Sus scrofa: one gene and its partners. The protein of the gene in region 1 purifies or fractionates together with the protein of each later gene. This does not show direct contact. Links are inferred from orthologs where the notes say so. Each region holds a gene or a part of one and is shown on either strand. Other genes may lie near its edges. The genes, in order: SMARCA5, HDAC2, RBBP4, BAZ1A, BAZ2A, HMGXB4 and CHRAC1.

Evidence for each region.
Region 2: the proteins of SMARCA5 (region 1) and HDAC2 fractionate together in Homo sapiens (co-fractionation; 5 studies listed by BioGRID, with this or other methods). This does not show direct contact. The link is inferred for Sus scrofa from reciprocal best matches to the Homo sapiens genes SMARCA5 and HDAC2.
Region 3: the proteins of SMARCA5 (region 1) and RBBP4 fractionate together in Homo sapiens (co-fractionation; 6 studies listed by BioGRID and IntAct, with this or other methods). This does not show direct contact. The link is inferred for Sus scrofa from reciprocal best matches to the Homo sapiens genes SMARCA5 and RBBP4.
Region 4: the proteins of SMARCA5 (region 1) and BAZ1A purify together in Homo sapiens (affinity purification with western blotting; 8 studies listed by BioGRID and IntAct, with this or other methods). This does not show direct contact. The link is inferred for Sus scrofa from reciprocal best matches to the Homo sapiens genes SMARCA5 and BAZ1A.
Region 5: the proteins of SMARCA5 (region 1) and BAZ2A purify together in Homo sapiens (affinity purification with western blotting; 3 studies listed by BioGRID and IntAct, with this or other methods). This does not show direct contact. The link is inferred for Sus scrofa from reciprocal best matches to the Homo sapiens genes SMARCA5 and BAZ2A.
Region 6: the proteins of SMARCA5 (region 1) and HMGXB4 purify together in Homo sapiens (affinity purification with mass spectrometry; 3 studies listed by BioGRID and IntAct, with this or other methods). This does not show direct contact. The link is inferred for Sus scrofa from reciprocal best matches to the Homo sapiens genes SMARCA5 and HMGXB4.
Region 7: the proteins of SMARCA5 (region 1) and CHRAC1 fractionate together in Homo sapiens (co-fractionation; 5 studies listed by BioGRID and IntAct, with this or other methods). This does not show direct contact. The link is inferred for Sus scrofa from reciprocal best matches to the Homo sapiens genes SMARCA5 and CHRAC1.

What each region holds. Positions count from the first base shown.
Region 1 is NC_010450.4:84,183,810-84,187,007, forward strand, and holds the end of SMARCA5 (SWI/SNF-related matrix-associated actin-dependent regulator of chromatin subfamily A member 5), read right to left. Parts: intron 2,906-3,198; coding exon 2,798-2,905; intron 2,042-2,797; coding exon 1,976-2,041; 3' UTR 763-1,975; downstream 1-762. UniProt on the Homo sapiens protein: ATPase that possesses intrinsic ATP-dependent nucleosome-remodeling activity.
Region 2 is NC_010443.5:79,887,917-79,891,742, forward strand, and holds part of HDAC2 (histone deacetylase 2), read right to left. Parts: intron 1,775-3,826; coding exon 1,662-1,774; intron 565-1,661; coding exon 447-564; intron 1-446. UniProt on the Homo sapiens protein: Histone deacetylase that catalyzes the deacetylation of lysine residues on the N-terminal part of the core histones (H2A, H2B, H3 and H4).
Region 3 is NC_010448.4:88,985,827-88,990,115, forward strand, and holds the start of RBBP4 (histone-binding protein RBBP4), read left to right. Parts: upstream 1-1,265; 5' UTR 1,266-1,550; coding exon 1,551-1,566; intron 1,567-2,133; coding exon 2,134-2,281; intron 2,282-4,289. Other genes in the region: ZBTB8OS (protein archease), read right to left, coding at 649-745. UniProt on the Homo sapiens protein: Core histone-binding subunit that may target chromatin assembly factors, chromatin remodeling factors and histone deacetylases to their histone substrates in a manner that is regulated by nucleosomal DNA.
Region 4 is NC_010449.5:65,063,404-65,067,113, forward strand, and holds part of BAZ1A (bromodomain adjacent to zinc finger domain protein 1A), read left to right. Parts: coding exon 1-165; intron 166-2,985; coding exon 2,986-3,128; intron 3,129-3,710. UniProt on the Homo sapiens protein: Regulatory subunit of the ATP-dependent ACF-1 and ACF-5 ISWI chromatin remodeling complexes, which form ordered nucleosome arrays on chromatin and slide edge- and center-positioned histone octamers away from their original location on the DNA template to facilitate access to DNA during DNA-templated processes such as DNA replication, transcription, and repair.
Region 5 is NC_010447.5:21,941,526-21,945,351, forward strand, and holds part of BAZ2A (bromodomain adjacent to zinc finger domain protein 2A), read right to left. Parts: intron 3,588-3,826; coding exon 3,522-3,587; intron 3,342-3,521; coding exon 3,105-3,341; intron 2,968-3,104; coding exon 2,713-2,967; intron 862-2,712; coding exon 647-861; intron 374-646; coding exon 299-373; intron 84-298; coding exon 1-83. UniProt on the Homo sapiens protein: Regulatory subunit of the ATP-dependent NoRC-1 and NoRC-5 ISWI chromatin remodeling complexes, which form ordered nucleosome arrays on chromatin and facilitate access to DNA during DNA-templated processes such as DNA replication, transcription, and repair.
Region 6 is NW_018084968.1:1,835,321-1,839,146, forward strand, and holds part of HMGXB4 (HMG domain-containing protein 4), read left to right. Parts: intron 1-1,580; coding exon 1,581-1,662; intron 1,663-2,542; coding exon 2,543-2,607; intron 2,608-3,826. UniProt on the Homo sapiens protein: Negatively regulates Wnt/beta-catenin signaling during development.
Region 7 is NC_010446.5:3,025,906-3,030,394, reverse strand, and holds the start of CHRAC1 (chromatin accessibility complex protein 1), read left to right. Parts: upstream 1-1,586; 5' UTR 1,587-1,688; coding exon 1,689-1,835; intron 1,836-2,173; exon of another isoform or gene 2,174-2,326; intron 2,327-3,115; coding exon 3,116-3,242; intron 3,243-3,810; coding exon 3,811-3,929; 3' UTR 3,930-4,489. UniProt on the Homo sapiens protein: Forms a complex with DNA polymerase epsilon subunit POLE3 and binds naked DNA, which is then incorporated into chromatin, aided by the nucleosome remodeling activity of ISWI/SNF2H and ACF1.

The DNA of each region.
Region 1 (3,198 bases):
GAGCTTATTCTTTTTCCTTCCCCTTAATTGGCAGTATAAATAAAAACTTGGCTTTACTTTATTCTAAACATTCAGTAATCATATCCTAATTGGCCTGTCAAACATAAATGCCTCTTACTTTGGTGTTCAACTGCAATGCTAAATTTGGATATTATTTCTTTCATGCTTTTTTCAGGTGTTCCCTTTACATGTCCCCGTGCCCTGTGCTCTGAAGGGCTGGCACTAGGTTCCTTTCATATTTCCCCTCTCTCCCTCCTCCCATCCCCTGCACTCACCCCAACCACACATGCACAGTAACTTCTTCCTCTTTAAAATACTGCTTCTTCTTTTGTGACCTCTGTAAAGTTTTCTTCAGCCTTATGTTGTTCCAACTATTTCTTTCAAAATAAGGCAACTGCTCTAAGACAGTTCTTTTCATGGAAAAAGTAACCACTCCTCAAATTTTGCTACAATAGATCATAATTGTTATTTTAAGAATCTAAGATTATACAGAAATCAATTTAAGGGGAACACAAAACAATTTACTCCACAAATTGCCATAACCATAACCATTGTATTTTGCTTGATATTTATGGCAACAACCCCTCTTTTAAAAAGCAGTATTAGTTAATACTACAGAAAAAGTATTATAAATAAAAATCTCAATTATGTGTCAGCAGATGAACGCAACTGATAGAAATCTGAGAGGAAGGAATCTAATTAAGGAAAAAACAGATAGCAAATGAGAAAAGAAAATTAAAAGAAATGGAAAGAAAAGACCACTTAAGGATTATAAAAGTTATATTTATTCACGATGCTACATTTATTGCATTCCCTTAGAAAAATGGAGAACTGTTTATGTACCCAATTTGCACATATAAAACTTTATACAAATTATGTGTAGCACATAAAGGCCTCTGGTACAGCTAAAATCCTGACACTACAATTTGGGTCATCCTGCTTCAGGGTCTCCAGTTTATCAAGTCTGTCCATAGAAAATAAAAACTGGAATTATAGTCAGTCTTGCTGCTTACACTTAGAAATTATTTTAAATATAATAAAATAAAATTTTCAATTACCCTACAACCCAAAAAAGGTAAACTGGAATGGGATACATTTTGTTACCAATTTCAATTTAACAGTATGACAAATTCACACCTTATTTTGGCTGGGTCTTTTTAAAAAAGAAAAAATCACCTTAGTCTTGACATTATCTTTCTAAGTAGTGGCTGCTTCAGAAGGTAATTTGTCAAAATATTTACCAAACAATTAAAAAAAATAATAATAATATTCCTTTTACAAAATGGTACAGTAACACCTTAAGGAACCAGAAAATACTAAATGTCTTTGGCTATACAACTAAAAGGCCATTCTTCCAAACAGAACAGAGCGTATTCACCTCAGAACCAACTACAGAAACAAAGCATAACACAAATATGCACAGAATTTAATGAGAAGTTGTCTTGCCTTTTTTTTTTCCCATTCTACCCATATAATAAGCAAGGAGAATGCAATTTACATAATCTTCCCAGATGAGACTCAACAGCACTACAAAGGAGATACCCAAATTTCTGCAAAGGCAAAGTGAATTAAAACAATTACACAGCTAAGTGAAGACTGAAGGGACAAATGTTATTTGCAATTTTTTAAACTTGTTTGCTTCTTTTTTAAGCCTTACAAGTGTAGAAATTATAGCTGATAAACAAAAAGTCACAATCTTCACAAATGGAACTATAATAGAAAAATAAATCAAATGAAACATTTATTAATAAATGAAGCCTATTTTATTACTTCAAGTGTTAATGATAAAAAAATTTCAGCACAGCTGTTGCATTTAAAAAAGTGAAACTACATACTATGTTTCTAGCTCGGTAAACAGATGAACCTGATGTCTTTGAATGACATAACGACTGAGCATTGTACAGTACATCTTATGAAGACCCGTAAATTAAAGAACTACTAGTTTAAAGTTAGTGATTATGAAACAAATATGTATTCATAGTTTCAGCTTCTTTTTTCTTCCTCTGCCATCAGGTGCTCCATCCATTTTACGTTTCTGTGTCTATAAACAAACACAAGGAATATCTTCATCACAAGGGTACTCTTAAAAGACACATGACAGCGCTAGACTAATAGCTGCAACTGAGTAACAGCTATCAGATTTTCTTACCCAGAATAACCTTAATTCTCCAAGTAATCGTATTTGTCTACTCATTTTACTGACACAATAAAAAAATTAATGCTGATAACAAAGTAAATGAACCATTCACAATTAGCAATGTAAACCAGTACACCAAACAAATGTATAACATATGTCCTCTATCAAAACAAAGCAGTAATGAGAAATATTTTGTAAGGCTACATAAATACCAGACTTACCTAGAGATGTTTATTTAACAATGACTTATAAACTATTATTAAATAAAAAAAGAGGGTTTTTTTGTTCTCAAACTTTTGCTTTAGCACTGCTAAAATACCACTGGGACAACAAATCAAAGCTTCGAAGTCAACAGTAAAGGCTGTAAAGATCACTGCTTTCCTACTATTTCTTTACATATTCTAAAAATCAGGTGTAGGCTCTTAGCATTCACCAGACAGACCTTCCCAGGTTCTCAAAATCCTCATACTATGAACTACCACCATGACATGATTCTCCCCACACAAGGTAATCAAGATTAATTTATACTTTTTAAGCAAGTTCAGGCCATACTATTTACCAAAAACAGACTAACACATCACTGATAGCCAAATAATATTCAAATTCTTGGAAAAAGTTAAGTTCTCCAAGAAAATATTTATATTTTTCATGAGTACTCACTGAAGGTTTTGGTCCTCTTTTCTTTTTCTCTGCCTTCTCCTTTTCTTCTAGTTCCATGTTTTCTCTTTCAATCAAGGTAATTAAGGTGTTACACCTCCGCTGGAGCTCCTGAGTTATAAATTTACATGGTAAGCCTGTATTCTCCATCTCCAAGTTTTCATTATTACAATTTCAAAACCAAGGTATATTGTAACAGGATTAGAACATCACTTACACATCCCCAACAGGTGGAATTTTAAAAAGCAAAAGGAACAACAATTTTCATACACAATCCATGCTAGGAGGGGAAAAAAAGATAACTGTGCATTTTCCACTTCATTATTTAAGACTATACTGTTGTGTATTCCTCATGTGTCTATACCTGAGAACTGCCATGTAAACCCAAACTTAAAGATTATAAA
Region 2 (3,826 bases), on another chromosome or scaffold:
CAGTTGTAAATACAATGTAAATAGTTGCCAGCAGGAAGCAAATTCAGGTTTTATTTTTTGGAACTTTCTGGAATAGTTCGGATTAACTAAAGCACACAAATAGGTAGGAGGTATACTCACCAGGCTTAGGCTAAAGTACAATCAATTTTTTTAAAAGCTGGAGAGTGAGGTTTCCCTACTGATATCCATTATCCCAAAGTTAACAAGGAACCAAAACAAAGCAGAGAACATCCAAATAGCTTTGGTAGTTTGGTGGACCAATAGGCTTCAGATAGGTTGTTTTACTTAAGTAGTTTTGGTGTTATTACACTGACTTTTCAAATCAATAAATAATTAAAATAGATCAGGACAAAATACCTAGATTTGGAAAAATCTAATTATAAGCTTCTAAAAGTACTCATTTATACTTATCACTACTAATGTATATTTTTAACACAGAAACGTACATCTCTGCATCTGCTTACTATACTCAGACATGTTATCTGGCCTTATTGAACGCAGAAATTTGATGTATTCATCACTGTGGTATTTTGTCATTTCTTCAGCAGTGGCTTTATGGGGCCTCTGTGAAGAAAAATAAATGTCAGAACTGCAGAATTACAACTGGTTATATCAAATACAAAGTATACAATTTCCCCTAACGATACTCTCGAAAAAGAATTAGGTCTGTCAGGACAAAGTAGATAAAATTCTAAAGCTAATCTATATTTATACATGTGTGTTTTAGGAAACAGTAATCATAGCTAAAGATAATTCATATTCCTATAAAAAGATTAGGGAGGTCTAACACCAACTATGAATTAGTCACTCCTTTTATTTTAGTGGAAATAAGTCAACTCTTCTCAAGACAAATCCATGTTCATACACTCTCCTTTCTCACATTATCTTTATTAACCTTCTGCTCTATATCCAGCAATTTCATCAACGACCAATAAACTTCAGTAAGGATGAGACTCATTCAGACAGAATGGATTCATTCTCTATAGTCTGTTCTAATCTCTCTTCCTTTGACTATCCTAATGATCCTTGTTCCTAGGAGGGTAATTTCATTTATGACACTTCTTCCACAAGGCTTCCTGATTGGTCTTATCCAACTCTTCTCCAAATGTCTATATTTGAAAGAAACAAAGTCACATATAATGCACAACATTAGTAACTGCTTCAAGTCTTTCTTTTCTTCCCATAGATAAGAACTGTTACATCTCTTATCTGTTTATATATACTGTATCTTTTCTACAAAATCAATACTTTGTTTGCTCACTAACACAATGTTCCTTATGCCAACAAATATCTGTAGGATTAATTTTCTACCTAATTCTTTTGTAACAGCCTCAGGTCAACTCTTCAGAAGCACAGACAGGTCAATATTTATTGTAATAAAAATATTTACTATGATAAATTGAGTTGTTTTCCAGATATGTGAAAACCTGGGGGAGGGAAACTGCTTTTTAAAATGGTTGAAGGAAGAGGGAAAAAAAGAGACCACAGGTCCCAAACTCTCAAGTTTTCTCTGAAGAATAAAACAAAAAGAGGAGTTTGTTTTCTTCTGTAACTTTTCATCTACTAAATGCCCTCTAACTTTGAAAACAAAGTTTCAAAGTAGCAGTTTAAAGAAAAAAAAAAAAAAAATCAGTGAATATTTTACCAAAAAGCATACTCACATATATTTCCATCTTTCTATATAAGCCATAATTTAGCAGCAAGTTATGCGTCATGCGGATTCTATGAGGTTTCATGGGGTGACCCTGTCCATAATAATAATTTCCAATATCACCTAAAATAGAAAAGAGACAAAATGAACAATACTAACAAAAGAATCTTCATGAACTATCTAAATTTTTACAGTTCATCATCAGAAGGCATTTTTCACCTAAGTAAGCTTTATTTAAAATCTTAAATAAGGATTTTAGATTTTACAACTTTCAAACTGTATTGGTTTTCTACCAAGATACTACGCACGGAGTTCCCGTCGTGGCGCAGTGGTTAACGAATCCGACTAGGAACCATGAGGTTGCGGGTTCGATCCCTGACCTTGCTCAGTGGGTTAAGGATCCGGTGTTGCCGTGAGCTGCGGTGTAGGTTGCAGACACGGCTCGGATCTCAAGTTGCTGTGGCTCTGGCGTAGGCCGGTGGCTACAGCTCTGATTCGACCCCTAGCCTGGGAACCTCCACATGCCATGGGAGCGGCCCAAAGAAATAGCAAAAAGACAAAAAAAAAAAAAGATACTATGCACATTTTTACATGCCAATTACTCCATTAATACATTATGTCTGCTCACAGATTAAGGTAAGCAAGCTTTTCCGATCTTTAGTTTACCAAACTTTCTTATTTAGGAGCAACCCAAATAAAATACTTTTTACTCACTTATAAAAAAATTTTGTTCCTTAATGATATCTGCTTTTAGTAATCATTGGCAAATTCAGATGCTCAAGGTAAATCCTCTGAGTTTCATCAGTATGATCTAAAAATTTTACAGCAAATACTGCTTCTGGGATGATTCACTGGTGTCCCAGAAATTCTTTTTTTTGGGGGGGGGGCACATCCACAGCATGTATAAGTCCCCAGGCCACAGACAGAACCCACAGAGCATCGACTGAGCCACCAGATCCTCAACTGGCTGAGCCGCCAGGAAATTCCATTCCAGAAAATCTTTATAGTTGGTATTATTCTGGCTAAAATATTCTGTATATCCAATATCATAGTTAATAACAGAAATTTTGGCAACTGAAATTTGGATTTTAAGTAAAGTTTTGCTACGACAGCATATTTAGGACATTTTTTAAGGTAATAAGGATACTTTGTCTCATTCTTCATGATTAGAAAGTGATAACTCCTGGAGTTCCTGCAGTTGCACAGTGGTTAATGAACCTGACTAGTATCCATAAGGATGCAGGTTCAATCCCTGGCTTTGCTCAGTGGGTTAAGGATCCAGTGTTGCCATGAGCTGTGGTGTAGGTTGCAGACAAGGCTTGGGTATGGCATGGCTGTGATGTAGACTGGCAGCTGTAGCTCCAATTCAACCCCTAGCCTGAGAATTTCCATATGCCGCTGGCGCGGCCCTAAAAAGACAAAAACAACAACAAAAAGGTGATAATTCCTAACCTATCTTTTTATGACATCTTATATTCCAAGGTCTTAAAACTTACATGTAAGATTTTAAATCAAGTAACACCAAAATTCTGGATTTTTGTTTATCAAATTTCAAGGATACCAATTAAATACACACTCTCTTTCTAATGTAATGGGCGATTTTTACAACAGTCTTTATTAGAAATCACTTTCAGTACTAATTCTAGTTTTTAAGCAAGGAATTCTAAAATTTTGTTAGGACAAACTGATTTTAATGGTTTGAAGTTAATCATTTAGACAAGTTCATATAACAAAAACTAGGGATAAAGAATGCCATTAATTCATCTTCTAAATCAAAAATTCTTTCAAGATCCTGCCTAAACACACACCTTTTTCTGTTTAATGGAAACTAAGAATTCAGAAACTTTTGGTTCTTCTCTCTTCCATATTTTTGACAATAGTCCAGGATGAACATTCATTTTTATAACATAACTGTTTCTATTACTACTTGTTTTGTTGATATCACACCTCTCTAATTAACTCTTCATTTTCAACACAAGCTCTCCTCTGAAAACGATTCAAACATAGACATGGTCATTTAAAGGGAAAGCCATCTTCCTTAATGCAATAAAGCACGGGGACACTCCTCTGCATTTATCACAATTCAGAGGCTATGACTTCAGGAAAGTACCTTCCAAGCAATAAAGCTGTGGCCTACAGAGTGGCAGCACATATATACAGTTTCTTAAAAGCAGC
Region 3 (4,289 bases), on another chromosome or scaffold:
AAGCTATGGTAAATAGTTGGATTCTATACTGAAGACAAGGGGAATTTAATGAAATATTTTAAGCAGGGATATTAGAGTCAGATTAGTCCTTCCCAGACCACAGCCACCTTTAGGGATGATAGCTTAAGGTTTATATAGAACTTCAGAGTCTGCACTACACTTTCACATTTATTTTTATCTCAATTATCCCTCACATGAAGGAACTGAATGCAAAGAAAGGTTATGTGATTTGCCTAAAGTCACTTAACTAAATATGGCAAAACCAGGTCTTTTTACTAACACGATACAGGTAAAACACCAAGTTAGAAGTTCCCTACTGAGAGCTTTCAGTCCCCTAACCTAGCCACACTCTTAGGAGACGACAACTCCGCAAACGCTTGAAAACACGGTTGTGTTTAGAATTAATACACCAATAAAATTCCCACAAAGTAAGCGTGAATAGGCACACGTAGAAAAAGTTCAAAAGACTAAATGTGGAAGCCCAGATTTCCGATTCAGACCGGGTGGCTTTTCCCTTCAGCATCCGCGGGACAAGCACAGAAGAGACAAACAGGGCTAAAAGGGAACGTGCCGGAAGTACCGTAGGGGACAAAGTGGAAGGCGAGGCCAGAAGCCCCAGGTAATGAGAGAAGTGAGACACCTACTCACACTCGTACTTCCGATTGACTGGAGGATACTTGGCCTTGATCGCCTTCTGCTCCTCAGTCAAATTGTAATCTCTAAAATCTTCCCCTTCCAGCGCCATGATTGTGCTTTTGGACCCAAACTCAGCTTCCGCCCTTCTTCAGCTGGACTTCGGCCCTGACTTATAACTTCCGCTCTAGACTCCGCCCCTTGGCACACCCTTAAAGGACCAGGGCTCCATTCCCTGGGAGGTACTTAATCCTTCTAGACTTCCGTTCTGTGTCCCAGGGTTTGGAGCACATCATTAAAAGTCGAAGGACCCACTTTCTGCTCTTGCTTAATAGTTCTTCCTACGACTAAGGAAACAAATAATTTGGAGGACGTGGAATAAGGGACACGAATTAGACACCTTTCGATCTGAATGATAGAGGCCTTTTCTTGCCGCCTAGCCCCACAATAGATAACTAGACCCGGAAGCATCCTACATTTTCCCATCTAAAGTACTACTTTGAAGGGGTCGCTAGCTTAACACCCTTCACGAAAATGGCTGCCCCCAAAAGCGTGCGGACTAAACCTCTCACGTGACCCCGGGCGGGTGCACTTCTACTACTCCCGCGCGCGCGAGCGCGCGCGCGTGATCGGAGGAAGTCGGCTTGGGGCCGTGTGGGGGCAGGGGCAGAGCGCGCGCCTGGGCCTGGAGGCAAGCTGCTCCGCGCGTCTGGATAGGCTGCGATCGCGGCTTCCCCGCCCACACCGACGTTCGGCGCACTCCGATTGGCCGATGTTGGCGCGAAGGTGCGCGAGTCGGCCCTCACGCAGGGGCAGCAGGAAACAATAGAGGCCGCGCGCGCAGAAGGAGCGCTCGCAGCCTCCCCGCCCCTCTCGCAACGCTCTGCCCCAGGATCCCCCCGGCTTGCCTGTACGCCATGGCGGACAAGGAAGGTGAGGGTGCCGGGGCCGCCCCAGGAGGGCGGGAGGAGTCAGGCTTGCGCCGCGGCCTCAACGCGGCCTAACGGTGGGGGCAGGCCAGACTCTGCCTAGGGCCGTCCCCGCCATCGCAGGCGTGAGGAAAAATCGCCCCGCGGGGCGGGCTCATGGCGCGCCAGCCCCTCTGGAGCGGAGGCCCGGCGCAGCGGTGTGAGGCTGGCCGTGGTGGCCTCGGGGGGGGTGTTTGGTCCCTCCCGCGCTCCCCGTCGGTCTACCTGCCTCTCTCCGGGTCCTCCCGGCCGCTCTCCCTACCCGCAGGGGTCGGTGCTCGGTCTCACCGTCGGTTCTGTGCGCTCGACGGCGGGCGCCGTCGCCCGAAGGGCTAACGGAGTGTCTGGTCGGGATTACCCGAGCAGTTCCCGCCCGGCGAAGCTGGAGAGCGGTGGTGGTGCCTGCGCCTCCGGGAGATCTAGACTAATCTCCATTTCAGAATCAGGATTCAGGAGCCGTGACGGTAGCTTTGGAAGTGTTTACTCGGTTTCCGTTTGTGGTCGCTAACTTAATTTGTTCTTAATTTTTTAGCAGCCTTTGATGACGCAGTAGAAGAACGTGTGATCAACGAAGAGTACAAAATATGGAAAAAGAACACCCCTTTTCTTTACGATTTGGTGATGACCCATGCTCTGGAGTGGCCCAGCCTAACTGCACAGTGGCTTCCAGATGTAACCAGGTGATAGGAATCTCTCGAATGCTGTTTTGTTGTGTCCTCAGTGTAGATTTCTCACATTGATTTTCCCTGTTTTCCTCTCTCCAGTCACCCGTAGAGGACACGTGATCAAAGCCTATTGGTGACATTTTTTTCCTAGGCCAGAAAGTAAGGCAAAATGTAAAATTATTTTGCAGTTTAGCATATAAGAGAGAACATACTGATGTTTTCTTTTTATTTACTTGTTTTTATTGAGGTACTGATTTACAATGTTGTGTAAATTTCTGCTGTACGGCAAAGTGATTCAGTTATGTTTTTAAAGTACAGCTGATTTTCCATGCTTCTTCGGTTTCTGTTGTATAGCAAAGTGACCCAATCACAGTTTCCTGTGTACACTTTTTTTTGGATATATATTCTTTTCCATTATGGTTTTCCTAGGACACTGAATATAATTTTCTTTGTTATACAGTAGGATCTTGTTTATTACCACTTTCGTGTAGACTAGCTTATTACATCTGCTAACCCCCACCTCCTGCTCCCTCTCCCAACCCCCTTGGCAACCACAAATTTATTTCCTATATCTGAGTCTGTTTCTGTTTTGTAGATAGGTTTGTCATATTTTAGACTCTCCAATATAAATGATATTTGTCTTTCTCTTTCTGATTTCACTTAGTATGATCATCTAATTGCATCCAGGTTGCTGCAAATGGCATTATTTCTTCCTTTTTACGGCTGAGTAGTATTCCATTGTATATATGTACCACATCTTTATTCATCTGTCAGATTGTTCCCATGTCTTGGCTATTGTGAATAATGCTGCTGTGAACATAGCGGTACATGTATCATTTTGAATTATAGTTTTGTCTGGATATATACTGGGGAGTAGGATTGCTGGGTCATATGGTAACTCTATCCTTAGTTTTCTGAGGCATTTACATACTGTTTTCCATAATAGCTGCACCAGTTTGCTTTCCCACCAGCAGTGTGGGAGATGTTTCCTTTTCCTAACACTGAATTGAATAGTGGGATTATAGCTGTAGTTGACCAAATGGTAATGTAAAACTTGTCAGCTTTCAGAAACTATCAGGATGAGTTCAGTTTTTAACATCAAAATGTTTGAATCTCGGCAGTCAGTGGTATTTTCTAGTTAGTTAATGCAAAGGTAAATGTGACATGGTACCTGCTTTCAAGTCTAGTGAATAGGCAGGTATAATTATGAAAGTGGCAAAGATAAAATGATCAGAGAAAGGAAAATTATCTCAACTTGGAATATCAGGAAAGGCTTTCAGTGGGAAGTGACAGTGTGAAAAGGAAGGTGACTTTAAGTAGTATAAAGCTTTAACAAACTGAGCGTGCCTGGGGGAATAATGGATTTTTTATTACAAAACTGTTGGTGTTCAGAGTAACAGCTGAAAGTTATATGTATGCTAAATAACTAGGTTCCTTCAGAACTCAGGTCTTTTGAGTCAAGATATTTGTAAAATGTGGTTGTTGGCCTATGTTTCAGCTCAACAAGTAATAGAAATTTTATAGAAATTTCATTGCCAACTTAATGAGCATGCTACTTTCGTAGTAGCTTTTTAAAAATGGGGAAATCTGGAGTTCCCGTTGTGGCTCAGCAGTAACGAACCCAACCAGTATCCATGAGGATGTGGATTCAGTCCCTGCCCCTGGCAGTGGATTAAAGGATCCAGTGTTGCCGTGAGCTGTGGTGTAGGTCGCAAATGTGGCTCAGATTCAGAGCGTGGCTGTGGCTGGCAGCTGTAGCTCTGATTCAGCCCCTAGCCTGGGAACTTGATGTGCTACAGGTGTGACCCTAAGCGAGCAAAAAAAGTGGGGGAGGGGGGAGTCCTGTCCTACATATGTTAATAAGTACTTAGGAATTTAGAGTTGGAAGCTGCTTTATCATGACCAGTAGTTCACATTATTCAGCTGATACTCAGAATTACTTGAGTTCAGGGAAAGTGGCATCATTTCTGTCAGTTCTCAGTAGTTCAAACCACCTAGGAACTTGTGGCAGAGTACTTGAGAA
Region 4 (3,710 bases), on another chromosome or scaffold:
GCAGGAAAAGTGCTAATAATACACCAGAAAGTAGTCCCAACCTGCCTAACTTCAGGGTCATTGCTACAAAGTCAAGTGAGCAATCAAGATCTCTAAATGTTGCTTCAAAACTTTCTCTGCAAGATAGTGAATCCAAGAGAAGAGGCAGGAAAAGACAATCTACAGGTATGAAGACCTCTAATTTAAATTATTCTTTTTAAAAATTTTTATTATAGTTGATTTACAATGTTCTGTCAATTTCTGCTGTTCTGCGAAGTAACCTAGTTACAGATATTTATACATTCTTTTTCTCACATTATCCTCCATCATGTTCTATCACAAGTGACTAGATATAGTTCCCTGTGCTATACAGCAGGTTCTCATTGCTTATTCACTCCAAATGCAATAGTTTGCATCTACAAACCCCAAACTCCTAGTCCATTCCACTCCTTCTGCCTCCCTCTTGGCAACCACACGTCTGTTCTCCATGTCCATGAGTTTGTTTCTTTTCTGTAGATAGGTTCATTTGTACCATATTTTAGATTCCAGGTATAAATGATATCATGGTATTTATTCTTACCTAAGAAAATTGAGTGATTTGGAAAGGTTGAATGTTGAGATACTTTGGATCATTTTCAAAAGACTCACTATTCAGAATTACTATGGAGCAACCTAACCTGAAGCATAATATTCAAGGAAGGGGCAGCTATTTGGGAACTAAAGATAAACTGCATTACTAGTAATTCTACTAATGTAGCAGAGTAGTTGTTAAGAAATTCGCCAACAGCGAGTTCCGTTGTGGCTCAGCAGGTTACGAATGTTACAAGTATCCATGAGCCTGTAGGTTTGATCCCTGGCCTTGCCCAGTGGAATCCAGTGTTGCTGTGGCTGGTAGTTGCAGTTCTGATTCGACCCCTAGCCTAGGAACTTCTATGTGCCATGGCCCTAAAAAAAAGCAAAAAAGAAAGAATGTTCTGAGGTGTTTTGTTTTTGTTTTTTGTGGGTTTTTTTCTTTTTGCCTCTTCTAGGACCAAACCCGCGGCATATGGAGGTTCCCACGCTAGGGGTGGAATCAGAACTGTAGCTGCTGGCCTTCGCCACAGCCACAGCAACGCAGGATCCGAGCCGCGTCTGTGACCCATACCGCAGCTCACGGCAACGCCGGATCCTTAACCCACTGAGCAAGGCCAGGGATCGAACCCGAAACCTCGTGGTTCCTAGTCGGATTCATTAGCCACTGAGCCACGACAGGAACTCCTACAATGTTCTGTTTTTAATGGAGAGATTGGCCAATACTTGCACAGGCTCAGCTTATCACAGTATAACATGTTTCATTCTCTTCCACCTTTTCTTCCTTCAAAACACACATACTCATCATCACCTCGATGAGCTACTTCTGGTAATTTGGTAAGTCTCCCATCTAACACACTGAATCTGGGGCAAGGGAGAGTTGGAACAGTAATATTGCTAAGGAGTGATGACCAATGATCTTTTTTTTTTTTTTTTTTTAAGGGGAGTCAGCAGGAGCCCTTTTTAGTTCCCCACCCTCATGATAGCTTTTGCTGAGGGGCCACTGCTAGCACCCCACTTGCTCCCCTCCCTTTGGCCTAAGACGGCAGGGCAGTGCAAGGGCAGTATGGGGGCACTGAAGGAGCACGCCACGACTCCCCATTCCCAGAATCATCATCATCATAACACTCGGCAGACCAACTATCTTTTTAATTCTGATAATTATTGTTCATAGTAGTATTTATCCATATAATAATGCCTTTACCCATTTATCTCTCTCTTTTTTTTTTTTTTTTTTTTTTTTTTTTGTCTTTTTGCTATTTCTTGGGCTGCTCCTGCAGCATATGGAGGTTCCCAGGCTAGGGGTTGAATCGGAGCTGCAGCCGCCAGCCTACGCCAGAGCCACAGCAACAGGGGATCGGAGCCGCATCCTCGACCTACACCACAGCTCACAGCAACGCCGGATCGTTAACCCACTGAGCAAGGGCAGGGATTGAACCCACAACCTCATGGTTCCTAGTCGGATTCGTTAACCACTGCGCCACGACGGGAACTCCATACCCATCTATCTCTTCAATCCTATCTTCCCTTTTCTTTAATGCCAGTAGTAATAAAACTTTGATTTTTTTAAAAAATGACGTTAACCAAAAAATGCTACTACTGTTCTTTGAAGAATTTTAGAGAGTTTGTGTTGCATTATTCAAAAACGTGACTGGGATTTCCTGTGGGTTTTTTTCTTTTTGCCTCATTTTACTATAGTCCAAGACATATTTTTAATAAAATGGAGTAAAAAAACAATCCACAGATTTTGTGTTCTAGAATTTCCTTTTTTTGTTTCTCACCTGTGCCACGTGGAAGTTCCTGGGCCAGAAATTGAACCCCTGCTCCCGGAGCCACAGCAGTGATAATGCCGAGTCTTTAACAGCTAGGTCACCAGGGTACTTCTAGAATGTCCTTTTGTATTACACTCTTTACAGTCTGTTCCCAGTGAATGTTTATTTCAATTGGAAACTTTTAATATCAAAAGGAAATAATGTGTGGTTTCCAAGGGGGAGGGAGTGGGTGGACTGGGAGCTTGGAGTTAATAGATGCAAACTATTGCATTTGAAGTGGATAAGCAATGAGATCCTGCTGTATAGCATAGGGAACTATATCTAGTCAATTGTGATGATATAAAGGACATGATGGAGGATAATGTGAGGAAAAGAATGTATATATGTGTGTATGTGGCTAGGTCACTTTGCTGTACAGTAGAAAATTGACAGCACTATCAACCAACTATAATGGAAAAAGTAAAAATCTAAAAAAAAGAAAGGAAATAATGAATTTTTGGTCTAAATTTATATGTCTCAGCACGTAAGTTAGTTTAACATCTCAGTGGGTAGAGTATCGGTTTTCTGGTTGAATTTAGTTTTTATTTATATGCCCTGTTTGGCTTGTGGTGATCAAATATTTTGCTTGGTTATCACCTAATAATTAATACAATTCTTTATTCAGAATCATCTCCTATGACACTGAATCGAAGGAGTTCAGGCCGACAGGGAGGAGTTCATGAATTGTCTGCTTTTGAACAACTTGTTGTAGAATTGGTACGGCATGATGACAGCTGGCCTTTTTTGAAACTTGTTTCTAAAATCCAGGTAATATTACTAGACTTTATAAAATTATTCATGTATATATCTGATTTAGTCTACATGGCAACTCTGAGGTAGTCAAAGTACTTATTTAGTCACTGTCTACTTAAGAAAAAAAACTTGGCAAGTTGGTTCCTATATTGAAAAAAATGGAGTTAGATAGTCAGCTCAGTCCCTTCTAGTGCTGTGACTGATTCTTTTGTTTTTGCTTTTAGATAACTTTACTTTTAAATGTTTATGACTAGTAGGAAACTTCACTAAATAGGAAAACAAATAGAGATACTTGCTTTTGTTTTGGCCAAATAGTACAAATGAGATGTGGAAGAGAAATTTCCTCTTGATAGAAGTTTTAAAAGAAAAATAACACATTCTTGGAAATGATTTAAAATTGAAGAATCCTGTCATGGCTCAGCAGGTTAAGGACCTGACTAGTATCCATAAGGACACGGGCTCAATCCCTGGCCTTGCTCAGTGGGTGAAGGATCTGATGTTGCCATGAGCTATGGTGTAGATCACAAACGTGGCTCAGATCTGGCATTGCTGTGGCTATGGCGTAGACTGGCAGCTGTAGCTGCAGTTAGACTCCTA
Region 5 (3,826 bases), on another chromosome or scaffold:
TGCGCCTCCGCCCCAGGCCTTCCTCTGGCCCCTGCAGCTCTATCTCAGGTCGCCCAGTTCTCTTGGCCAGAGCAGTTTTCAGTCTTGAGATAGACAGATGACAAGAAACTGTGGTGAGGAACATGATGCTGCCACAAAAGGAACACCTCAAATCTAAGCCATCCTGAACCCTGGGGTAAGTTCCCAACCCCAGGAGAAGCGCTGAGGACTTTGAGTTCCAAGCAAAAGTCCAGGCTATGCTTTCCCCTTTACCCCTTCTCTCCTCTCCCTGGGCCCTACCCTCTTGTCCCACCCCTACCTTCGGAGCCGGCCTTCAACAATCCACTTGTTTTTCCTGTAGCTGGACATATTCTCCAGAGTCTTGTCAATCTCACTGCAGGGGAAGAGGGAATGGCATATTGAGGGAGAGGTGGCAACACACACACAAAAGAAGGGAGGCTCAAGGATAAAGGGAGTTTCATCCTAGAGCCTAGGATAAAAGAATGGCAGAGGTTTAGGCTCTCCCAGGGAAGAAATGAGATTCAGTCCCAAGTCACGCCAGCATGTCTAGAGCATGGCACTGGACACACATCACCCATGGCTAAACCCCTCCCCGCTCCCATTCCAATCAAGGGACACAATAACCACCCCCACCCCAGCCCCTCACTTGATGATGAGGGTAGAGCCGTTGAGCTCATGCACAAGGAAGGCCAGGACAGCAGCCTTCTGCTGGGGTGGCTGGGCCTGAAAAGGCTGTGTTCGGAGGCTGTCACAGAGGGCTGGCTCCACTCCATACGCCATAAGGAAGCAGCGCAGGATCTCAGACACATTGTCTCTTGTCAGTGGGATCTCAGACACCTTCTCCCCCAGGATCTTTAAGGACTGTTTGGAGGAGAGCATAACAGGAGTTAAGAGAAAAAAGAGGAATGACTCAAGTCGGGTGAATCTGGAATAGGAAAATACAGTAGGAAGAGCTATGGGGTTAAGATAGGAAAAGAATGAAAGATGCTAAGAGAAGATGAGAGAAGGAAAAGGAAAGGTACAAAAGAAAAGGAGTAGATTAAAGTTAAATGAACAAAATAAGCAGAGGGAAGTCAGAAAGAAAAAGAAGTAGAAGGAAAAAATTTGTAAAACAGAAACAGAAAGAAACTACAGGTCTTCCTCCACTTGTTCCTGGAGAGAATGATAAGAGTCAAGACCTAAAATCTTGAAGAAATGAGTAGAACTAATCTAGGAATAAGGCAATAAATTACAAGAAGAGCTAGCATGTAGTATACAGATCATTCTGACTTCTATGGGATAATGTCCCAGTAAACGTATCAAAAACTGAAAAAGAGTTTTTTTATTTTATTCCTTTTTGGGCCTCACTCACCATATGGAGGTTCCCAGGCTAGGGGCTGAATCAGCTGTAGCTGCCGGCCTACACCACAGCTCACAGCAATACCAGATCCTTAACCCACTGAGCGAAGCCAGGGATCGAACCTGCATCCTCATGGATGCTAGTCAGATTTGCTAACTGCTGAGCCACAATGGCAACTCCTTCAAATTGAAAATATTTTAATTTGAAAATGCATTGGGGAGAGTTCCCATCGTCACTGAGTGGAAATGAAGCCACTGCACTGGGGAGAGCATTGAATCCAAGTCCAGTGCTCCCAAGACGCCATCTATCCCATTTTGCCACAGCAGGAACTCCCTATGTTGGGTTCTTAACCTGCTGAGCCATGCCGCGGGTGGCCAAAAAAAGAAAAAAAGAACCTGACATAGTGCCTGTGAGGATATGAGTTGGATCCCTGGCCTCACTCAGTGGGTTAGAGGATCCAGTGTTTCCAGGAGCTGTGGTGTAAGTCACAGATGTGGCTCAGATCCAGTGTTGCTGAGGTTGTGGCATAGGCCAGCAGCTGCAGCTCTGATTTGACCCCTTGCCGGGGAACTTCCATAAAAGGAAAAATAAAAATTCCATTAAAAAAAAGAGAGAAAATGCATTGGAGTTCCTGCTATGACACAACGGGATCAGTGGCATCTCTGCAGCACCAGAACACAGGTTCCATCCCCTGACCCCAGTTACAGTCGGTTAAAGGAGCCAGTGTTGCCACAGCTGTGGCGTATGTCACAACTGTAGTTCGGATCTGATCCCTGGCCTGAGAACTCCGTATGCCACGGGCTGACAAAAAAAAAAAAAAAAAAAAAAAGAAAGAAAGAAAGAAAGGGGGGAGGAAGCAAAAAGGAAATGCATCAAATCTACAGAACATGATAGCTTAGCCAACCCTACTTTACACATGCTCAGAACATTTACATAGCCTCTGGAGTTGGGCAAAAGCATCTAACATAAAGTCTATTTTATTATAAAGTGTGGACTATCTTGTAATCTATTGAATATTGTACGAAAAGTGAAAAACAGAGTGGCTGCATGGGCACAGAATGGTTCTAAGTATAAGGGTAAATGCGTGCTTGACTGGGTGGGGGCCACTTGACTTGCTGCCACTGCCCAGCATCATGAAAGACCATCGTACTGCATTTCTCTAGCCCAGGAAAAGATGAAAATTGAAAATGTGAAGTAGTTTCTACTGAATGCATTTTACTTTAGTACCGTTCTAAGTAGGGAATTATTCGTATATCTCCCTTCACTCGCTTTAATCATTTTGAGGAGGGAGTTCCCTGTGTTTAAAGAGAAAACAAAATGGAGAGGAGCAGAGGATCCCAGGCCCTCTAAACCTGCCCAGGAAGGGCCCTCACCTGACAGCAGGAGGGCAAGCCGGGATCATAGAGTGCAGCTTTCAGGAGCCGCACCAGAAGATCTTGAACCTCGCCCAGGCTGTCGCCTTGACACAGGAGTCCCTCCTGCAGGACCCCCAGGCTAGGTACATCTTTGGCAGGGTCAAAGCCCAGCACCTTGCCGAAGCTGTGCAGGAACTCCACAATGGTCAAGCAGTCTGAGAAGGCCCCACTAGGCAGGATCAGACCAGGGATGCGTGAGAAGTCAGGCAGGGGCTGCAGGGATAAAAGTGGTAGGGGGGTTCTGTCAAACATACGAGAAGGCTACAGCCTGGATACCTAGGAGGTTCTTCCTTTAACAGAAGTGTCTTCACAGACGGCCCCTCCAGGATCTGTTATTCTCCCCTCACTACCTGGTGGTCAGTCAGACACATGTCCTCTGTGGGCTTCTTCATCTCCTCCAAAATCATCTGCTGCCTCTGCCGTTCCTCCAAACGCCTCTGTGTAGCCAACATTTTATCTGCTTTTTTACAGGCTGACTTGGCTTTGGCTACCTCCTCCTTTTCTTTCATTTTTACCTTCTCCTTCTTTTCCTTCTTGACTTTCTCCTTCAGTCTTTCCTGCTTTGTTTTTACCTTTTCCTTGTCAGCCTACCCACACAAGGGAGAGAGGAACCAAGAGTGCCATAAAGATTTAAGTCACTACCCTTCCCTGGTTCCCATCCTCCCCCCTTAGACCCAGAAACATGACTATAAAACAAGACCAACTCACATGTCTTGCAACATCAGTTTGGTGACTTCAAAGTTATGCTTGTGTGTTCATGTACCTACCTTGGATTTCTTCTTAGTCTCCTTCTGCTTTAAGCTCTTGGTCTCTTGTTTCCGCTTGTTTCTGGCCTGTAAACCATAAGGGAAGTCATTTCTCCTCAAACTCTGAAACCATCACTGCTTGGGCTAGGAGTCAAAAACAGACAAGGGTGCTGGGGAGGAGAGGTGAGAGATGGGATGAGGGGTTGGCAATGGATCAATTCTCTCACCCTGAAGATGCCCGCATTATTCTTGAATAAACCCAAATCTCTAAATCAAGCCCCCCCAGATTCCAGCTGATGGAGGGATGCTGCCATAAGGCAGGTAGT
Region 6 (3,826 bases), on another chromosome or scaffold:
GACCGGCAGCTGTAGCTCCAATTAGACCCCTAGCCTGGGAGCCTCCATGTGCCATGTGTGAGGCCCTAAAAAGCCAAAAAAAAAAAGCAACTCTGATGTCACGAGACAGGATGACGTTGTTTGTTGGTTTGTTTGGGCCATAAAGTATGACCCAGGAGGCAAACAGAAGTTCCCAGTAGCTTTTAAAGCACCAAATGGTTATGTCACTGTAATAACTGCAGGGCCAGAAAAGCAGAGGAGGAGATGAAGGGCCGACCATCCTATTTTGATACTTACAGATGAGGTTTGAAATAGTAACTTTTTCTATAAGGAAGCAACATATTTTTTTTTCCTTTGGCCTATACTGCGGTAGCCCTGGAAGTCAGGCTTCCTGGATTGTAGCCATTCTAGTGTACAACTGGCATAACTGTGGCACCCAGGCAATCACTATTTTTCTGAATTTCCTTTTTCTCATCCTCAAAATGAGAGGTTTGGACGGGTGCCATGTGATGCCCCTTTTCAGGTAGGAAAACTTAATTTTTTCCCTCAGTCTATGGATAATTGTAAAATGGAATGCACAGTAACATATAATCTTTTGTTTATATATCACTCATTGACCTGACTTTAAAGGCATATTTGGTTTTTGTTTCTCAAAAATCATACCTTGCTTTTGGAATTGTCAGAATACAGTGAAGAATAACATACTTCAAGCAGTTTCTTGAAGTGAAAGAGGTTTGTCTTATATTAACTACCAGTGAATCATCTTCAGTTATTTATTTACTTCTCACCTTGGACCACAAGGATGTGAATAATAAAGTAATGAGAAACTACAAGTGACAGTCAAAGCAGGATCAGGAAAATTATAAGACTGGAAATAAAAACCAGAGGAACAGTATGAACATAAATTTGGCTCTGGACTTTCTGGCCCCAAAGTAAAGAGAACTTATGTGGTTCTTTTACAGAAGATAAAAAATAGACAACCTGTAGTTCCCATCGTGGCTCAGTGGTAACGAACCCAACTGATACCCATGAGGATGCAAGTCCAGTCCCTGGCCTCGATCAGTAGGTTAAGGATCCGGCACTGCCTCGAGCTGTGGTGTAGGTCACAGATGCAGCTAAGATCCTACGTTACTGTGGTTGTGTAGGCCAGCATCTACAGTTCCAATTTGACCACTAGCCTGGGAACTTCCATATGCCTTGGGTGCGGCCCTAAAAAGGCAAAAAAAAAAAGAAAAGAAAAAGACAACCTAAGAGAGAGAAAGATTTTCCTAGTGTTTAATTCTAACAGAAATATGTACCATGGGATTGTATGTGGGAAGAATGAGGGGCTTTGCAAATAAGTACCTCCAACAGCCTGAAAAACCCAAGAATAAGTTAGCATGTGGTTTTTACATTCTAAAAGTAAAATTGATACTTATCTCTAAGTCATAAGTAACACAGCTTAAAAATCAGTTATCCTGTTTAGGAAAGCCAGTTGGTAGTTTAGATCTCTTGATGAAAAAGTGCAGGTACCTTTTCTGTTTTGTTCCCACAGAGGCAGGGTTACTCAACTTTGTGTTCTAATTAAGTCCTGTCCTGTTGTGTTTTTCTGTGGTGCTTAGCCAAAAAAGAAGAACATGTCAGCCTACCAGGTGTTCTGTAAAGAGTACCGCGTGACCATTGTGGCTGACCATCCAGGCATAGGTAAGAACATTTCTCATCTTTCGTTTTTTTACTTCCCCTTTGTGTCTCCGAAGCAGTGCAGTTCATTCAGTCGGTCAGCAGGCACACTTCTTCCCAAGCTTGAAAAGAACTCCAAACTCATTTCTTTCCTCAGCTGTGCAAGTCATTTTAGATTTGTGTCTTCGTTCACCCCAGCCATAAAGCACAGCACATAAATATGCAGTGTTCTACTTCCAAGATTCCACAGGAATCCTTAAACTGCCCTTGTTTAAGAGTGAGCTCACATATTGTTCAGATGGGTCTGAACCTTGGACCCGTCATGTAACCTTGGACCCGTCATGTAACCTCTACGAGTCTCACTCACCCAGTGTGTGAAACTAGCCTCCCGGCCCTGTCACCAGCGTTGCGGTGAGGCACGCCACGTAAGGCAGGAATGCACTCGCTGTTCACGTGGAAACACAGCATTACGCATCTGGAAGATCACATCTGAGCTGCTCTAGGGAAATTCCACTTTCTTTCCACGCTCTCAGAAACTTGGTAAAAATCTAACATCTTTTATCAAATTCTATGTAACTTGTTTTCTTTAACCTAAGTCGATAAGCGCTGCTTTGTGGGATCAAATTAAAAGACACCATAAAGATGCTTAAGGAATACATCCTTAGAGAGTAGACGTGTGAGAATTTGAGCCTGTCTCATGACACCAGAACAGCCCCTTCGTTCTAGAAAAGAATCAGGGAAAGTTAATGGGCTTTGGTTTAGTTTTCTGAAAGAATCTTGTGCTATTTAAATCTGATCTTCAAAACCCTTTTCCCAGTTTTTGCTCTTATCAGACTTCCATTTTATGTATTTATGGTTAAACCTTTATTGAGTTTATTTGTTTGTTTTTACTCTTTTATGGCAGACTTTGGGGAACTTAGTAAAAAACTGGCTGAGGTGTGGAAACAGTTGCCAGAAAAGGACAAACTGGTAAGTACACTTTATTATGGGCATGTTTTCATTGCTTTATGCCTTTCAAAGTATATAATTCTCCTATAGACCATCCCAAACAACCCTGAAAGTAGGAGGAAAAAAATTTCAAGTCAGTGGAAAATGAGCTAGCAGAGGGCAGCGAACTGATTGGTGCCGGTTCACTCAGGCGAGGATTCTGTCGCAGAGAGACTGTCTCTCCTTACTTCATCTAATTTTTCCCAACAGCCTTCCATTTAGCCACAGGATGATCTAATTTGAGCAATGATTTGTGTTAAAAGAGAATCTAGGAGTTCCCATTGTGACTCAGCAGCAGTGAACCCAACTAGTATCCATGAGAATGCAGGTTCAATCCCTGGCCTTGCTAAATGGCTTAAAATATCCAGCATTGCTGTGAGCCAAAGTGTAGGTTGCACATGTGTCAGGTCTGGCATTGCTGTGGCTGTGGTGTAGGCCGGCAGCTGCAGCTCTGATCCGACCTGTAGCCTGGGAACTTCCATGTGCCAGGGGTGCGGCCTTAAAGAAAAAAAGGAAGAGAGAATCTAAAGTCTACTACTAACACCTACTGGTCAGTCCTAGTGTGAGAACGGAAGAAAGTGGTCCACTTCATAGTCACAGCAAATAATAAAGCATGGAACAGTGTTTACTGGGTAAGTAGGTTCCCCATCATCATTCTCCTCAACCATCACCAACTAATACGCCTTCATATCAAAAAGCTAATAAGCCAGTGATGAGTAGTCATATCTGTATCATTCATAGTCACTTTAAGATGATATGAAGGTGGAGTTCCCGTTGTGGTGCAGTGGTTAACAAATCCGACTAGGAACCATGAGGTTGTGGGTTCGATCCCTGGCCTTGCTCAGTGGGTTAAGGATCCGGCGTTGCCGTGAGCTGTGGCGTAGGCCACAGACGCAGCTCAGATCCTGCATTGCTGTGGCTGAGGCGTAGGCTGGCAGTTACAGCTCCGATTCGCCCCCTAGCCTGGGAACCTCCATATGCCGTGGGAGCGGCCCTAGAAAAGGCAAAAAAAAAAAAAAAGATGATGTAAAGGTGGTGCAGGAATTAGAATTACCGTCTTGCTTTAAGGTACAGTTCATCTGGGTGAAACAACATATAATTTTTACCCAAATAAGTTTTTGTTTTCCATTTCATTTTTATCCTGCTATCAGTGTTGCGAGCCAGCAGGTCAGAAGAAATATATATATTTTTTTAATTTAGA
Region 7 (4,489 bases), on another chromosome or scaffold:
AACACGCTCCTCCCAGACACGTCCATTCAGTCCACGCTTTTAACCACCACCCAGACAATGGCGGCTTGGAATTCAGTGCTCAAGCCTGAACTCCAGGCTGGAAGAGCCAAGAGTCCACGAGACACCGCCACTGGCGTTCCCCAGGCGACTGAAACCTAACGTGCTCCAAACCACACCTGGGCCAGCTCTGCTCCTCCTGCAGTCTCCATCTCAGCAAACAGCACCACGGTTCTTTCACTCTTACTCCATAACACACTGGCAAGCCCTGCTGGCTCTATCGTCAAATTAGATCCCCTATCACCGCTTCCACTCGGGTCTGACTCACTGTCTCTCTCCATCCCCGGAACCGCTTCCTAACTGTGCTCTCTGCCTGCTTCCGCTCCTGCCCCTGGACGATCTATTCACACACAGCAACTTGAGGATTCCTTGTAAAACTGAAGGGGGACCCCCTTACTCCCCCCAACCCTTTTGGAAGGAATTCTGTGATCTACAAAGCCCTATCTCATCTGGCCCATGGCTACTTCCTATCATCCGTTCCCTAGCTCACTTCACCCCAGCCACACCTGCATCCCATTTCATCACCTGCCATCACCTTCTACTCTGCAATTTCTTTGCTTCCACCCTTTCAACCTCCCCATCCTCACCACTCCCCTCCGGTCTATTCTCCATCAATAGCCAGGGGGATTTTTAATAAAATTTAAGACGGGAGGTCCCGACGCGGCTCAGCTGAAACGAATCTGACTAGCACCCAAAAGGACGCGGGTTCCAGCCCTGGCCTGGCTCAGTGAGTTAAGGATCCCATGTTGCTGTGGTGCAGGCCGGCAGCTACAGCTCCGATTTGACCCCTAGCCTGGGAACTTCCATATGCCCCAGGTGAGGTCCTAAAAAGACAAACAAAAGCCCCCCCCCAACTTAAGAGACATATCCCCTCATCCCTCTGATCTCTTTCAGCACTTCCCATTTTCCTTATTATTATTTTGTTTTTTAGGGCCACACCCGCGGGGCGTATGGAGGTTCCCAAGCTAGGGGTCCAATCGGAACCGTAGCCGCCAGCCTACACCACAGCCACAGCAATGCAGGATCCGAGCCGCGTCTGCGACCTACACCACAGCTCACGGCAACGCCGGGTCCTTAACCGAGTGAGGCCAGGGATTAAACCCTCAACCTCCCGGTTCCTAGTCGGATTTGCTTCCGCTGCGCCACGACGGGAACCCCCATTTTCCTTCTTCTACAATCCAATAGGACCCGGCCCCAGGCCGCCTCTCCGCCTTCATCCCGCACACCCCGGGCGCAGAGCGCGCCTCCCGAGCTTTCCGGAAAGGCTCCTCCCTCCGCGCCGTTGCTGCTGCTCCTCTTCCCAGCAAAGCGCCTTCTCATCAACAGGGCCGTCCGCGCTCCTCACTGCCCAGCCCCCTCCCTTCCCCCCGCGGTTCCCAGTCCTCTCCTGCCTACACGGTATCTGCCTCGACCTTCAGGGAGACGCCTCCCCGGCCCCCGCCCCCGGCCCAGCCGCCCTTCCTTCCGCCTCGTCCGCGCGCGGCATCACGGGGCTTGTAGTCCGCGCCCGGGGCCGCGCCTCCCGACACTACAACTCCCACGGGGCAGCGGGACGCCGCTCCCGCACCAACCGAGCGGGCCGGCCACCTCGCGGCGGGTCGGGGCTGCCGCCGCGGGGGCGGGGCGCAGAGATGGCGGACGGGGTCGCGGGCAAGGACAAGTGCGGGGAGCCTCGGCTGGTGTCGCTGCCCCTGTCCCGCATCCGGGTCATCATGAAGAGCTCCCCCGAGGTGTCCAGCATCAACCAGGAGGCGCTGGTGCTCACGGCCAAGGCCACGGTGAGGCGGACCGCGCGGGGAGGAGTGAGAAGCGGAGGGCGACAGTGGGGGCCGCCCGGGACCGTTGCGTCCCGCCCCGCCCTCCGAGCCCGGCCGAGTCCCGCCGCGCTGCCCAGTACCCCTCGGCCCGCGCGCCGCCCGCTCCCCTGCGCGCGCCCGCGCGCTCTCCTGGGCGCGGCCTCGCTGCCTTCCGCCGCGCGCTCCCCAGCTCCCGCGCGCCCTTCGCCCCGCCCCCGGGCGTCAATCCCGTCTTACCCCGCGCGCCCTCGCCCCGCCCACTCCGTTCCCGGCCTCCCCCGCGCGCCCAGCGCCCCGCCCACCCCCCCTCCTTCGGCGTCTCCTCCTCCCGAGTTGTCGGCCCCCAACCCCAATCCCTCCCCTCTTGTCGCTTCCGGCCGCTTCCGCTTTCGTGGCTTTGGGCTCCACCCCTCGGACGGTTGAGCGAACGGGCCCGCGCCTTCCTCCCAGTCTTCGGGGCCGCACGTCCCCAGGTCAGAATTAGCCTTTCCAGGGCCGTGGTTTTACAGCCGGAGGTGCTAGCCCCTCCCCGGTCTTTTGATTTGGCGCGTGGTGGGCGTTCTTGCCCAGGGCCAGGTTTCAGCTGCACGGTTTCCCTCGCTTTCACGTTCCCTAGAGTGGCTTCCGGCCCCTGCTGGTTGCGCCCAGTGTCCGGTGTCCCTACGGTCAGGGTGAGGGCGGTGGGAGGTCACGTGGTCTTGGGATAGTTGTGCTTTCGGGTCCAGCTTCGTTCTGTAGGTGTTAAGGAATTGAGGAGTTTCGCAAGCACTTCTTCCATCCCTTACTAACGGAACTAGGTGGATTTAAAATAGAAATTCCCAGAGGCTCAGCCCAGGGCTCAGTCTGGGCAGAAAGGGAAGCTGATCGTTTTTTTACCTTTAGGTTGTTGACCGTAACGGTTGTAGGCGGACAGCCTGGAAACACTGTGTTCAAACGGAAGTGTGTTCCTCAGCCACACCGAATTTTTGAATGGTCTCTTGCCCTTTTTAACTCCAGAGGTTCGTCATTAAATATGACTCATTGTTGAATCACTTTTGATTATTTTTCATAAGTTATAAATCTAAAGTAAACTTTAGGGAGACGCCTGCTTCCCTGACAACTTAATTCAGCCTTTGTTTCCTTTCTGACCGCGTAGTCCTTTCTCGCGTGATTTTCTGTAATTTGGGAAACCGAGATAATCTGCAGTCATCGAAATGAGTGTAATTAAAAATGAAGGTCTGTAAGTTTTCAAAGCACACCTTTCGTTTTTCATTTTGTTTTAGGAACTCTTTGTTCAGTATCTAGCCACCTATTCCTACCGACATGGCAGTGGAAGAGAAAAGAAAGCTCTCACTTACAGTGATTTATCAAACACTGCAGAAGAGTCGGAAACTTTTCAGTTTCTTGCAGGTATTTAGACTTTCAAACATTCTGCTTAAAAAAAATGCTTAGCAATTTACGCTTTTTTCTCTGCTCTTTTTTCTTCTTGCGCTGAAATAGACACTTGGCTGTTTTCTCTAGGTGCCAGAGTTTCCCACGACCTGGCATGAGTCTTAGTTTTGGCCGTTTGAGTATGTTTGTAATGTGATTCACCTGGACCAAGAAGCCAGCACTCTCCCTACAGGGTGTTTGTTGGCTGGGGCGTGGCAGCCCTTCCCTGACGCCTCCTTAATTGGTCCAGGAAACAGAAACTCAGAGTTGTTGTGCAGCAGTAGCTGTGGGTCACAGCTAACAAGAGCTCACGGGGATCCTTGGGGCAGCCACCCTGTGCGGGCTGGGTTGAGCCGTGGGCACCAGCACCCAGAAGCACGCGGTTTGCTTCAGTGGAAGGGAGGCAGGTTTGCAGGGCTAGTTTCCTGCTGTTTACCCAGAATTGTCGTCTGAACTTTGTTTTGTCTTGGAACCTGTTTAGAGGTCAAAGCAGGAACTGGGACATTTTGAAATTTACATTACTGATGCTAGCTTTATGTTTTTTAAGACATATTACCAAAGAAGATTTTAGCTAGTAAATATCTGAAAATGCTTAAAGAGAAGAGGGGAGAAGAGGAGGAGAATGACGACGACGACGATGAGAGTGATGATGAAGCGGAATCCTAAGCCAAAAAGAAATGCGTTAGTGACCGGCCGGGGAGCACGGCTCCGGGATGAACACCTTTGCTCTGAGCAAGCGTCTGCTCACTCTCGAGACACCCCAGGGACACCACGTTCCTTCCTGGCTGAGATGGGGCGTGAGGTGCCTCTGCTGTAAATAGCCCAAAGCAGAGCGTCTCTTTCCCAGGCCCACGCTGCAACCGGAGTGGGGGTCCAAACAAGGGGCTTCGAGCTGGGGTCACAGCCAGTCTGCAGCTCTAAGCCGTTGAGGCCAAGGCAGCTTTGCTTAGCTTTGTAGCTTACAGATAGATTTTGAAGAACTTCTAAATATCAGTTGTATAAATTCACATGTGTATATTTTGAAATTAGTTTTTGTAAACAGCCAGATCCGGTTTTAGCTAAAATACGTGGTCTATGGGTAGTATGTTACATCTGAATTTTTGTATTTCAAGAAAATTTGTTTGGCATTGTATTTGTTCAAATATTGCATTTTTTTAAACTGTAAAGAAATAACTTTTTAAATTAAAAGCTAGACTTTTTACAGTAAAGTGTTTTATGGAACTAGT